Linked DNA regions of Lytechinus pictus. The protein of the gene in region 1 purifies or fractionates together with the protein of each later gene. This does not show direct contact. Links are inferred from orthologs where the notes say so. Each region holds a gene or a part of one and is shown on either strand. Other genes may lie near its edges.

Region 1 (7,467 bases):
ATCATCATCACCACCATCACAACCACCACCACCATCATCATCATCACCACCACCATCATCATCATCATCATCATCACCATCACCACCATCATCATCCTCATCCTCATCATCATCATACCTTGCATGGGAGTTATCGTAGATGTTCCAGGTCTTGATGTTCTGCAGGTGGAGGCATACTTGATGGCTAGCTCTCTCATCTTCTCAAGATCATTCCTCTGCATGGCTTCCATGTATTCATGCTGAGCCTTCAACTTCTTCAAGTCAGGAAAGAAGTCACGCTGGATGATTTTTTCCAGGTCCTACAGGGAGATGGAAAGCAAGGACTTGATAATAAAAATCACAAAATTACACTAGCACGTGTATCATATCCTGCGTTGCCATGTTAGATGACTCAGACTAACATTAAGACAATATGTGCATCAACTGTGATAAGTCATCTTTTTATGGTCTAATGCACAAGTGTCGTTGTCCTCCATCATGGCCGCTTATGGGAACGATCTTTAAAGTCACAAAAGCTTAGCAACATTTTGTCATCACAGCTCTGATATCATATCATTCTGCTGCATTTCATTTTTCTATAAATTGTAGAATGAATGACGGACTAGAATGAATGACTATCAAGAATTTCAATGAAATACATGTAGGTATTGAATAGCTGATTGAAATGGTGGAAATCATATCCAAATTTAATCTAATAAATGTGAAGTTATTACTCATGAAAATGTTCTAATAGAAAAGTAAAAGGTCAACAAAAATCAAGTATTGTAGTTATTGTAGTAATTGAACAAGTATGTACTAGTTCCATGCTATATCTTCTTCAAATCTGATGGCCCCCAGAAGCTCAATCCTTGAAGCAGTTGATAAATATTAATTTCCTGATGATTCAACAAAAATTATAAATTACGGTGTGCATTTAAAAAAACAAAAAGGATGTAATCAAAATTTAGGGTGATTATTAACAATTACAATTTGTTTTTCCTGGAATATGAAAGACTTAATAATTGATATCAATGTTAAACAACAGGTACAAATCCAACTTTTCCAGTTTTAACAAGTATCATAAGGCAGAAATGAAACTGTTACTGATTAAACGGAGTGGTTTCTTTGCTACTTGACATGCTCACTGTTCATAAACGTTTTTTTAATGAATGCTGAAATTTTCACTTCTCCTGTTAAACTGACCAGTTTCCATACACTTCACCTATTTTATCGAAACTTGGAGAAGAAAATGCGTCAGTGGTATGAGAATGGTGTCAATGAATATAAAAAAGATGAGGAGTTGCTCTTTCATATTATCGTAAATTCATATTGTAATAGTTCATCATCTTTTAATACTGCCTTCCATAAACCTTCATTTTGTTATTCACTTTATATCTCATGTACACGGAATTAAAGAAAGATGCATCTATAAACGCTGTAAAACCCATTAAAGAGTACTAGAACTGGACAGGATTACTCACACTAACAAACACCTCTTCATCAAGTACTTTTCTTTTGTCTGGCTTCTTTTCTTGTTCCCATGCTGGTTTGGAAGTCAGAGGAACCATGGCTTTCTCATCTGATTTTACCAGAGCCATCTCTACTTTGTCGGGGCAGGACTCTCCAGCAAAGCCAGCCTCAGATCATAGATCACCTTGTTAACTAAGTACTCTGAATTACTTCTCAACCTGCAACAAAACAAAAATACTGATATTAGACAGCAGGGAAGCACACAGAAAGTATATTCTTCTTTACAGAATTTAGACCAAATTGAAAGCACACAGCTTGATCATCAATAATGATGCATCTCATGCTAGGGTACCAGGCCATGCCTCCAAGCAATGACCGTGTAACATAGGGATTCTTAATAAAGCAGTACATGTTAAGTTATGTATAACTTTAAGAACCCAAATATTCAACCGTCCTGGGTGAGAAAACAGACGAGGGCTCACAAACTTTGAATGTCAAATGACTCCATGCAAATCAGCTCAACTAAAAAACAGGTGAAAATTCAATGAATGAAACTGAAGCAATTGAAATCAACTCTCAGATATTTTCTGTTTTGCAAAATAGTTTGTTGTTAGAACACAGGTTTACTGTAATGAGATGCATCAATTGCTGAATTGTGAATATACAATCTGTAACTTAAAGATACCATTTATTTTATTTACTACATTTATCTATTTATTCATTTATATATTGTTTTATTTATTTACATGTATTAACTTATTTACCAGTAGGCCTATATAGTTTTCATTAAAGAAAAAAATTGCAGGACATCATGACCGAGTTTCACTTTAATTTCCTGATTTCTTTCTTTTGTTCTTTTTTTTTTTTTTGGGGGGGGGCTCGGCCTGGGGGAGGGGCAACTATATTACTGTACACATGTGTGACAAAAAAATGTGTAAAAGGGTACTTTTTGCACATCAGGCAGGTAATGCATCAAAAAGGCCAAAATCTGACAAAAAGGGTTGTGAGGTAAAGCACATAGGCCTAGGCTATATAACATTATTCATTAACAAGTATAATTTGTAAAAGTAGATATACAGTTGAGCGATATCTCGTTCTTACGTAGAATGGTTCTACGAAAGACCCTTTCATGCAACAGGCCCCTGGCTTCTTTGAGAGTAAGCCTGCGTTCGTAAATAATTTTTACTCTCAGACTCAGTCTCAAGAAGCCGCCTGGCTACGGCCGCCGGGTTGAAATCGGCCCTGCGGAAGAGACCTGCACCAATTTCAGCGAGTGGGACTGAAGTAAATAAAATTAAACTTGTTAAAATTAAACTGTAAAAGGTTAAGCAGGTAGGATTACAGGAACGCTAAGTCAAAATTTTACTCATCGTATGGTTCCCAGGTACCTTATTATTATAAAATTAACTCTTTAAAAGACAGAAATCGCATAATGATGATAAATAACTTACCTTTAATAGCAGGCTTTTCGTGGTGTACCGCTTTTTGTTTGTTCCCGATCGCTTCTTGAACGTTTTTTCTGCACCTGCGCCCTCTAACGGTGCGCCGCGTTAACGTTATGTTTGCGCCGTGCGCCTGCGACCTGCGAGCTGCTGCAATCCAAGGCCAAAAAAAAATTGATGCAGAGGTTTGAGGTTCAACTCCCGGTAACATCTTTCGGATAATGACGTTAAAGGTCGGTCCAAGATGTACATAACCATATCGGATTGATACACGTCTGAGAAAAAAAAAAAAAACACACACACACGCACACTTAGAGGTAGATAAATAAGCTTATTTTGTCCACCTATATAAAATTATCTTTCACCACATCCATTATTTTTCCTCGACCCTGGGGGATTTTAGTTATACCCGTGTGAGTAAAAAAAAAAAAAAAAAATTGACACCTCACGAATCCCTATTTAAGGAAGAAATATGACATGAGCACATATTAATCATAATCTGTGGCCGGAAAGAGCATCTTCTCCCAAATAATAATTACATGATACTATATTTAAGTGATATGTCTTCACTGTTGGATAATTAGTAGGTATTCTTTGCAGTGATGTACATTTTTACTTGCTCCCAAGTAAGACATGGCTCCAAATGGTCTCCAATTAATGAACCCAGATGTCAATGGTGTTTCAATCCTACAAGGTTTGCATTGAAACACCTTTTCAGTAATTAACATTATAATTGTTTAATAAACACTTTGGTATCCGAGTCGATTCTCAAGTTAATTTCATTGAAAAGGGGTTTGCAAATTATGTTTATAACTCATGCAGGATTACAACATTGACATCTGGATTCATTCATTGCAGCTGTGAATTACTTTGACGTAAATCAAATTTTACATCACAGTAAAAAAAAAACCCATGACTGTAATATCCAAGCGTTAACACATACCTGATAAATATGGTATATATATATATAAAATGAGGCCAACTCAAAAGATGACGCAGGACACCATCCTTAGCTTTAGCTTTCGTCTTTATTAAGACTTCGTCAGAAGCGTCTGAAAAATACTCACACCTCAAGAGCGTTTGGTACAAGTAAACTTAATATATAACTATTTGTTCATGCAATATTTTTTCCTTAAATCGAGGGTTTGTGAGGTGTCCAGTTCAGTTTTTTTTACTCACATGGTACATTGGAGGACTATAGGCTATGCCATGAAAGATGCACATGTATGGTCAAAAATATTAGAGGGGGCCATATGTGGCTTATTGGGTAAGATTTATTAAAAGTTGCGAGCGAAGCGAGCAAGCCGTATAATAATTTGATCAATCTCATTGCTTTCAAGAGATTTTATTGACAAATTTGACTTTGCCCAACTATCTGTTCCTGAGTGGAATAAACTCCCTCATCAAATAGTAGGCCTAAATGCAAGTTCGCTTGACAGCTTCCCAACTCTCCTGCAAAACCACTTTGAAAATAGACTCCTCCTCATAACGTGCATGCATCCTTAAATTTCACCTTCGAGAGACTATGCTGCAGATAGAGCCCTTTGAATATTATTGCAGAAGAAGACTCTCGTGCTCTAAATAGGATAGGATATCCATTCCAGGGGAGGCTTTCATCAACATTTTTGTCTGACAAGTTGTCAGATGTGAAACCTTTCCTTCATTCTGATTGGTCAAATCACCGTTACTATTAACTGTCCGATAAAACAGGCCTCGGATAAAAAGTCCGTCATTTCATGACATGCTCACCAGGAGGGCCGTAGGATTCGGGAAGGGAAAGGGACGAAGTGGAAGGGACGTAATAGGCTATACAGCCCCCCCCCCCCCCCCGATTAAAAGAAAGTAGACGATTTTGGAAAAATTATGATATACTAGTATTGTATAGGGCCTGACGTCTCTATTTTTTCGCTGCACACTTGCCTCGCGAATCGGCATCTTCGTGCATGCATCATTGAGTCAACACCAGTTTACAGTGTAGGTACCAAGATTGTACGGAAATTACCCCCCCCCCCAAAAAAAAAAAAAAAAAAAAACGAATAGAACCATATTCAAGCTTGTAAGTCGGCAACAGAGCCACTGGCATGATCATTTGCGCCCCAGAAACGAAGGAGGGGCAGGGTCATCATGATTCCACAAAATGTGTATTAGTGTGCATGGGATTAACTTGTGCCTGTAGGCTCTCAAATGCGGGATCACGCATACGAGCGTTTATTGATAGTGGAGGTAGTTACCCCCCCCCCCACCTCCATCCCCCCAAAAAAATGCAGAAAATCTTTGAATTCACCAGGGTTGTGTACCGAAACAAAGAGTACTCTCGAAAAGGCTTAGCAGTCATTTCCCTTCCTCACTGTCAAGGTATCATTTGGGAAAAATACATATCTCCAGCCCCCTTCCCCAACGTACCCCAGCCAGGGAATTCTGCGTATTTGGCGCCCAATTTGCCACAAAATATTGTGGCAAAGCACCCGGCCCCAATAGGTGGGTCCACCTTTGGATGTTTGTTTCCGACGCGCCCACTTCAGTGAATTATATACCCTCGAACAGTACAGACGACGATGCATGTGTTTCATACGGGATGGGGGATGTGTGAGAGAGAGAGAGGGGGGGGGGGACTATTTCACTGAGCCAATATTTAATAGAAATCGGCGAGACAAAGGTGTAGCAATACAACACTTTGGCATTGAAAATGTATATTTCTCTCTTTTATTTTCACAAACGCTATTGGTAGATCAAGGACCAATTTCATAAAAATTTGTTAGAACAACAAAGTACAATTTCTATATTAACAAGTTGGTTATTATCCAATCAAATTTACTGGTTTCAGTAGCTTTAAACTGATATTGTAAATTTGTTATAATACTAGTGTTATAAAACGGGCTCCTGACCCTTGAATTGTCGGCAATAAACATATATGGATAAATAAGTATAGTAATCATGATTACAGTTATTACAACATATGCTGACTACGCACATCCCAACCATATCGAACGAAATATAAATCATGACACTGGGATATTATCCCCTCCCGCATTTCCATAGAATAATACTTTTTTTCTAATTCGAGTAAAATAAATCAATTGTATGTGCACATATTACTTATATCAAGCAATATGGTATATACGAGTCAGTTTCGAACACAATAATAGTTATGTTTGTGATCAAACTGACGAGATACATCTCTAGATCAATGATGTTTCTCCGTAGCTCATTGACCTGTCTTCAAAAGAGCCAGGTATACTTAAAAGTTCAAACTAATCCATTGGACTTACTAATTTACTTTAATTTTATGTCACAATGTCTAGACATATATGTAAGACATTCTATGACATAGACATCTATAGGTAGCCTGAACTTTGGATGGACCTGGGTGGCAATTGGCCAACTGCTAAGTTTTGCCGAAGTCCCGACACTGGTCAACAGCCCATTGTTCCTAAAAGTCAGTCAGCCAAATCGATGAGTTCTAGAGAGGACGTAAAGTGTCCCAATTTCTTTGTGAACCAAATTCACTTGACCGTTTCAATAATGTGATCGAAAAATCATTACACATGTGTATGTTACTCAAAACTTACTATAGTCAGTAAATGACATTGGGCACAATATACCTTTAGGTGGTTTGTGAATGAGGCCTTGGTCACATTAATAATTTGTTGTTTTTTTCATCTAGTTTTCCAAGATTTCAGTGCAAGATCACTGCTTGCAAGAGGTTAAATTAGACGTTAATACAGCTATATCAAGTAGTACTCTTCGCCATTGCCAATTACACACATTTTCTCAATAAATTACTGTCAATAACACATGAAGATATGACTTGCATTAAGTTACTGATATTTCACCACACCCTTGATCATATAATGTAGTACTGATAATAGCATGTTGAATGAAATGATAGTACGAGTCAAGTGTTTATTTCAGTTTGCCTTGAGGAAGAGACGATCACTTATCTGCAACCGCAACCGCCAAACTGTCAATTTCTTTCTCTACTCCCCTGTCAAGTTTATTATAGTCATTAATTATAGCCTCCATAAGACTTTGATCACCATCGGTATCATCATCTCCACAATGTCTTCCATTCCCTAATGTCACCTTCAGATATCCATCACTTGGCATATCACCCGAGCTGGTGTTGTTTGAGACGGCCAACCGCGGTAAAAGTTTATTGTATTCATTTGCATTAACATCTTCCGAGTCATGCTTGCGGATGGCAGACCGATCGAGTTTGTCGTAGTCGGCACTCTCCTCGACGGAACCCTTCGTATGCGTGGCAAGATTTGGTTTAGCAGCGATTGTTGGTTTCCGGTTTACCTTGATGCCTGTCTCTTTATTAGGAGGTTTACCATCTGGTTGTTGGGTAAGACGTAAAGATGCAGGAGCTGTGGAGCTTCCTCGTTTCGATCCTCCAAACTTAAAGTAATACGGATCCTCGTCATCCCCCGTGTCTTTACTAGAAGTCTCAGGATTTATGTTTGAATTCACATTCTTTCCCACCATGTTACCAACTTCGACCAGATCATACGCTTGATCAGGATCGGTTGTCGTCGATGTAGGATCCAGTCCAGGTCGAAGACCGGTATTCCCC
Region 2 (6,999 bases), on another chromosome or scaffold:
ATTTTTTAATGTTTGTACCTCTTAGGTATACCTTCCTCTCAACTTTGCAAATTTTGGTGAAAATGACATGAATTTTGAATAAAGTGCAGCATTTATTGTACTTTTGTAGTTTGTTATTGAAATTTCACATTTTTGAGATTGGGTTTTTGTTATCTTTTACACCATTTCTAAGAACTGACAGTGCTGTTAGACTTAAAATTGCAAACAAATAGCACTATAAATAGATTATCCCTCCTAACGATACAATTATTAACTCTCTTGCGAAATTTGATGACTTTTTCATGTATTTTGACTGAGTAATAAAGATTTAAATTCATTGTAGTAATCTTGCGAGGTCTAAAAATGCCAAATTATTTTGAATGCGCAATTCTTAAGAACATCAATTTGGGTGAACTTTGAAGCTCTATAGCAAAAAATCAAGCACATGGACCTATGTTAATTTTTGCATATTTCAAATATTAAGGTTCTAAGGTATCTATGTGCAAAGTTTGGTGAAAATGGCATGGATTTCACTTTAACTGTGGAACGTCCTTAAGGACCAAATTTTTTATTTTTTTTTCCAATTTCAAGCCCATGCATCTCTATTAAAGTTATCATTGTTTTATCAATTGATTGTTCAAATGTGATTGTTTGAAAGCTGAAATTCCAAACAACATTATTTTTTGTGACTATGAGGCCTAAAACAAATGGGTTTCTGACTCTGTCCAAAAATTTACTCTGTAAAATTCTGCATTTTCATGCATACATATAATTGGACACTCCTTAATTACGTGTTGCCCATATTAAAAAGAACACTTGAAAATATATATTCAATGAACTTAATTATGTTCACTTTCCACACATCCATTCTATCCAAAATGTTCTCTCCATAAAACTAAGCAATAGGCAGAACATGTAATTAAATGATAAATGGGTGAACTTTATGCCTCTCAATTTAAAATAAAAAAATCATTTCGATTTTAGGAACTACTACATGTAAAATGAGGCAATTATTTCAAAATTTAAAATGGAAAAATCCTCCACATGTACCTTCATTAGTGTGTAATTGTAATTAACAGCTTTCCAGAATTTCATGGATTTTTTGTTTTTTCATTTCCTGAACTGAACCTTTCCTGGAAAAAAAATGTCCCTGAATTTCCTGAGGCTGAACTACCCAATGTTGAGAAAATTGACCTGACAAATAGATGACTCGACATTATCATTATTCCGACAGGAAGCAGTTCAACAGCCCTGTGCCTGCATAGACTGTTACAGCAAAATAGGCAACATCTCTGACAGACTCCACATATATTGCATCTACAACATACTTCAACACATTCACAGGTTACATCAAAATTGTCTAGTTCTAGATCTATCCCATCCCTTGGCCCTTGGTATTATTGCCTTGAATAAAACTTTTAAAAGGCTGCCTTGATTGAACTCTCTCATTCTCTGTATTTTTCTCCTTTTATTAAATTCCAGACTATTAAATGGTTGTTCCTCTTTCTCTTTGCCTCTTTCTTCTTCATGCATTCACTACCAATATAATATGACTCAGAGCATAACAATAATTAGTATGAAAAGCTTACATGAACTACTACTAACGTTACATGAAGAGCATAAGTTACGTTATAACAAACATCCATCTTATCTACGGTAGATGAAGAACGACAAGTGCTGCCTTGACGCCAGACAGCGCATGCAGGCAGTTTCATCGCACTGCACAGGCGAAGCAACACAGCCAACAGCAGCCAGGCACTCGTCTCAATCACACTCGCAGTCAAAATCACAGACGCCATGGCGCTTGATCAGCTAAAGCCTAAATTACAATTTATAACTCATAATGAAACTCAAAAAAGGGTTACATTTAACTGATAACTCAAAAATGACTCACCGTCTTCCAAATCTGTTTCCGAACAAAGTGTAAAATCAATCTGTGGGCAGCGAAACGAGGGTGTTGTTTGTGTACAGCAGGGAAATCGTATGGGGGGGGAAACGTTATGGTATCCTCGAAGTTCGAACAAAACACTTCGTTTTGGTGGAATTTCGTTTTAACCTAAATTTGAATTAATCTCTATTTCTCATAGGTTCTGTCAGTCTAATTTAGATATAAAATTAAATCAATGATTATAAACCGATTATACAATACGTCATTAATGTGATACTAGCTCTTGATTTACTAATCAAATATTGTCCAAGCAAAAGCCAATTTCACCCAATTCAATGATCTAATTGTTGACAATATAGAGTCCGTTCATCTTCGACTTTTAAATAAGATCATCTCAAGAGGAGCGGAACGGATTTGAAAGTGGGGGGAGTGGAGGGGGCTGACCATACAAAAAATCATATTCAGATAGTCATTTGTACGTTTTTGTACAAGCCCCCGATGCCCACCCCCGTTTTCGCGGCCCCTCTTATGATTCTTCATGAACTAACTTTATACCGGGACTTAATACAAAATGAAACAATATAAATCTAAATAAACTAATTAACAAAGTATTGTAAGTGTAAAAAAAAAAAAAAAAAATATAGGAAGATTTATCACTACACAAATTATAAAGAAACAGGTATGTAAAACCGTGATGAATTGGGAGGGGGGTAATTGAGAATAAAAACTTAAAACAACTGCTACGATACAGGCCGGGGAGATGTGCTCTGTGTAAATGTATGGCGTTTGGTGTCATTGGACAGTGATGAATAAATCATGAAGAGGAAACTTACAAAGAATTTGCATGAGGATTAAACGTTCAAAAGAATTACAAATTTTCTAATTTCATAATTTTTGAGGATCCTGCAGACTGAACAAGCGTTGCTTTTTTAATGCAGGTTCCCTTATAATTATTTCACCATAATTCATTTTTAATTGTCTTTGATTTTCAAATCGCTTTTAATTGATTTAGATGAATGGTGCCATGTCCGATTTCTGATTCGTACACCGTGTTAGTTCTTCTGATTATTGTTTTGTATTATGTTCATAATTATGTGAAGTATGCCTAGGTAAAATAAAGTCAATTATCAAATATGTTTATTTTCACTTGCGATTTTAGACTTAAATGTTTTGCATTGATAATAAATGTAGTGCTATTTCTATCTTCTTTTTTTTTTTGGGGGGGGGGGGCTTACCTTACTTCTCCCTCCCCCCAGAAAAAAAATGTGTTAATGACACCCATCCTTCATACACTCTTATTTAAATGCTTGGCTAAATTCATTTTTTTTTTGGCGAAAAAACTACAGGAAGAGATGGGTCTCGATGCAAGAAATTTCCTGTCTCAAGCAAAGTGCGGAAACCCCTCGTTGTGATATGTTTATATTTTTTTGAACTTCCTTTATGATTCAGAACTTTAATAAAAAGGGGGGAAAATGAGGCGAAAGGCAATATCGTTAGATACCCAGCACAATGCCAAGGACGCACGGCATATGAGATGGAGAAAAAGTCTCAATTGCTTTGGTGTTTATTCTTTTGGGGAAAAACATAAGAAACTCCCACTTGGCCACATGCAAAGCTAAACCTTTCTTCCTTTTTTTCCTTCACCTTTGATCCTCTTCCCCAGCCTGAGATTCCTTTTTTTTTTCTTCATGGGTGGGGTGGGGGCAACCGCCTCTCGCTATGCACCTGCCCTGAACATCGATCCCTGAATTATACCGTACCAGTTTATAAGTTCTTTTAGGACTTGAATGATGTTTATGTATGACGAAATGCGCTGGTAGAAACATGAACTAATGCATTTTTTTGCCATTAAAAAAAACCTCAGGTACGCGGAGGACCGTCAAAATATTTGAGTTCAATAAAGCATTTAATAGCAAAAATGTATAAACTGTCAATTTTTTATTTAATTGACGATTACGTGAAGCTATAAGAAGCAGATATTTCTGATTTCCGAGTACATTGGACAATGACATGTATATGTTTTGGCAATTGGACGGCGAGATATATGTCGATTCGCTTGCTCTATTTATTTGCTTTATAAAGATACAGTACGGTACGAAATTACGTAATCGACAATAACTGTTGGTGAAGTGCACTGAGCTGAGCTGAGCCTGAGCAATGGGGGATTTTAGGAAGGTAAAACAGTCGATTCTTGCATCTTTTAGGCAACTTTTGGCTGCCCATCTGTTATGTATAAAATGATTGAGGAAGAGAGACTGTATATTCCGCGCAATTTAAAAAATGTTTTCTTTTCCCTTCCAAATATGAATATGAATTAATGATGCTGGTCGACGTCGACGAAGCGAACTACGCGCATGCCCCAGACACTCGCTTTCATGTTTGTTGAGCCTAATGTCACAAGTCTGAGTGAGTTGAGCACAGTCACAGATGCAGATGAAAAATGTAGCCAGTTCGTGCTTTTATTTGTGAGAACTGCAAGTAAAAACTCTGGTATTTTTTATTTACCAAAAAAGAAAATGATCAAAAATAATGGGCAAGTTCACCCTGAAAAAGTGAAATGAAACTGAGTGAAATCTGAATTCTGATTCTGAATCACTCTGAATTGTAAATTATAAATATAAGTAACTAACATAATCACAACCTATCATGCCTATGCACGTTAAAACCAATTATACACTAACGTTATTCGTCAAAGAGTGGTTTTCACCCGGTATATTGCACCTGCCCAGGAGGGCCCTGCATCGTATACATCCAGATCCAGAACTTGGACTCTAAAGCATGAAAAGACTAAATCTAGAAAAGACTAGAAATCTTTGTCAAAGTGGAACTGTAGCTGGGAGTGTTAGTGTTGAAGTGACCACTAGATCTACCAGAAAAATAAAAAGGCTCAACTTTAACTTTTGAAGCCAAGGTCAAACTTTGACTTTGTCATTGAACTTTGAGGAAAATCTGTCAAATATTAAGGAGGTTATTAGAATTCGAAGTTTTTTATTGATATTGATGCCGTTATGACGTTAGAAGCTGCACCATATCGGATATTAGTAAAATGCGTAAATTTCAAATAATCATGATGACCATTTTATTTTCAGAAACAAGTGTAAAATAATTTATCTGTTGATATTCTGATGATGGCAAGAAGGGCCAAGCCGGGCTTCATCACTCTTTTATTAAATGAACAAGGTTATGATATATAACCTTGTTCTCTGTTACTATTCCCTGTGTGGTGAAATAAGGTTGGCAATGTTTGGCTTGTTTTCTCTTGTTTTGGGGGACAAATGCTTGATTTTTTTTACACTGTCAGTTTCCATTAGAGCTATTCATCATGTAACTTGGTTCCTGAGTAAATTGAAGTCTTTTTTTTTTCTGAATTGAAAATAGAGATTGAAAAATAAAAATTTTACTTTCCATCAATAAAGGGCCTGCACAAAAATATACCAAAAATTCAAGTTTTTGAGCGCTCCAGTGAATACAAAAATGATCCCCACATTACTAATGAAAAAGTGACATTTTAATCAATTTTTTAAATGTGTGTTGTATACTCAATAGATCTACATTTAGATTCCCCCACAGGCAGGGTGGTAGCAGTGAACAAGTGGGCCTCATTAACTCAAGAGTAAACATGAATTATTTATTTTTATTCCACAAATTAATTCACTTGATAATGTTCTTTATAATTAAGAGTAGGGTAAGTTTGCTAAACATCTCATAAAAATTTGAAGAAAAAAAATATTATTTTCTCGTAAAAAACCTACATGTAGTCAATTTCAGATTGAACAAAAAAAATAGTGCCACATGTCTGCGCATCCATTCACTTTTCACACGATTCAGAGAATGTGAGACCGTCACATTTAATTCCTGAAAATCAATGTTTTTCCACCATTTTTATATGGATTTTTAAAATCATTATCTGTCTGTGTATTGCAGGTGTAAAGTTTGTGGTCATTGCATGTCTTCTACTCTTCTTTTATTAGAATCGTGCAGATATGTGCAGACAAGGGGATGTTACCAAACAAAAACCATTTTCATTTTTTTAAAGAAAATGACATTTCATTGATTTTTTTTACTGCACAATTTATGTGGAAGGTGCTCGCATATCATGAAGTCACAAATCGAAATATTCAAATTCTAATTACTTTTTTATTCTTTGATACATTTTCCTCAAACCTTCACCAATATTCATTTTTCTGCTATTTTTACAATAAACTTTTTGTCAGGGAACTTCCCCAATCAATCTCAGGAAGAAATATAACAAACGAATCAGAATTTTGTTGATTCATTACAGCACTATCACTTACCGGTACTTGGATACACATATTGGATAGTAAATGTCAAAAATTTTCCCATATTATATCAAAGTTTTCTCTTTCTTTTTTCTTTGTAATTCCTCATTTTTATTCAGAGTCATGCAGGAGGGGGATATGGATCTGAATTTGAATATGACAGTGAAACTGAAAGAAGAAAAAGGTAAGAACTAAATGCAGATTATACTAAAACAGTAAAAATAAATAGAAAAATATTCAGTGTCTCTTCTATAGATATTATTGTTTTGTATGTCTATCTTTGCCCCCCCCCCCACACCTGATTTTATAATTACTAACTATCAATTGAAATCTGATACCAATAGTTTCATATGACTGATCATGGAACTCTCTTATTAAGGTCGATAGTCTCATAATGATAAGCAAGACTGGTTTGAAATGTGGTAAATTGATATCCAGGGACTCAAGTTAAAGGGGAGTGAGAGTGATCACTCGCTACCGCTCTCCTTAATCCATTTTTGAGAGAGCGATTTATCACTCGCCTCAGCAATTGCCTATAACATGAGTGTTAGTCAATGATCAACTGTTAGAGTCAACCTTAAAAACCTCATTCTCTGTCAAGGTTTTGTAAATAACAATTATATTGTAAGCAATAACACACTTGCAAAAATTATTAAATAGTTCAATGAGATAAATACTGCATATATCTATATCTGATTGTTTGTCTCCATTGGTTGTGGGTTGTAACTGAGTGTACATTCCTCAATCCATTTTGAAATCGGAAAAGAGCTTTTTGTAGTGCTCCCTTAATTGTCCCCTTTAAAGTTTTAGGAGAGCTTTTTATTGCTCCCCTCATAATTATAAAACTGAGTC

What was found. The genes of interacting proteins can lie anywhere in the genome.
Region 2: the proteins of splicing factor ESS-2 homolog (region 1) and protein FRA10AC1 homolog purify together in Homo sapiens (co-immunoprecipitation; 3 studies listed by BioGRID and IntAct, counting the BioPlex papers as one, with this or other methods). This does not show direct contact. The link is inferred for Lytechinus pictus from reciprocal best matches to the Homo sapiens genes ESS2 and FRA10AC1.

What each region holds. Positions count from the first base shown.
Region 1 is NC_087246.1:35,359,812-35,367,278, forward strand, and holds the start of splicing factor ESS-2 homolog, read right to left. Parts: upstream 3,002-7,467; 5' UTR 2,901-3,001; intron 1,668-2,900; 5' UTR 1,578-1,667; coding exon 1,461-1,577; intron 300-1,460; coding exon 119-299; intron 1-118. Other genes in the region: uncharacterized protein LOC129272812, read right to left, coding at 6,825-7,467. UniProt on the Homo sapiens protein: May be involved in pre-mRNA splicing.
Region 2 is NC_087256.1:20,271,132-20,278,130, forward strand, and holds the start of protein FRA10AC1 homolog, read left to right. Parts: upstream 1-3,973; 5' UTR 3,974-4,024; coding exon 4,025-4,042; intron 4,043-6,266; coding exon 6,267-6,331; intron 6,332-6,999. UniProt on the Homo sapiens protein: May be involved in pre-mRNA splicing.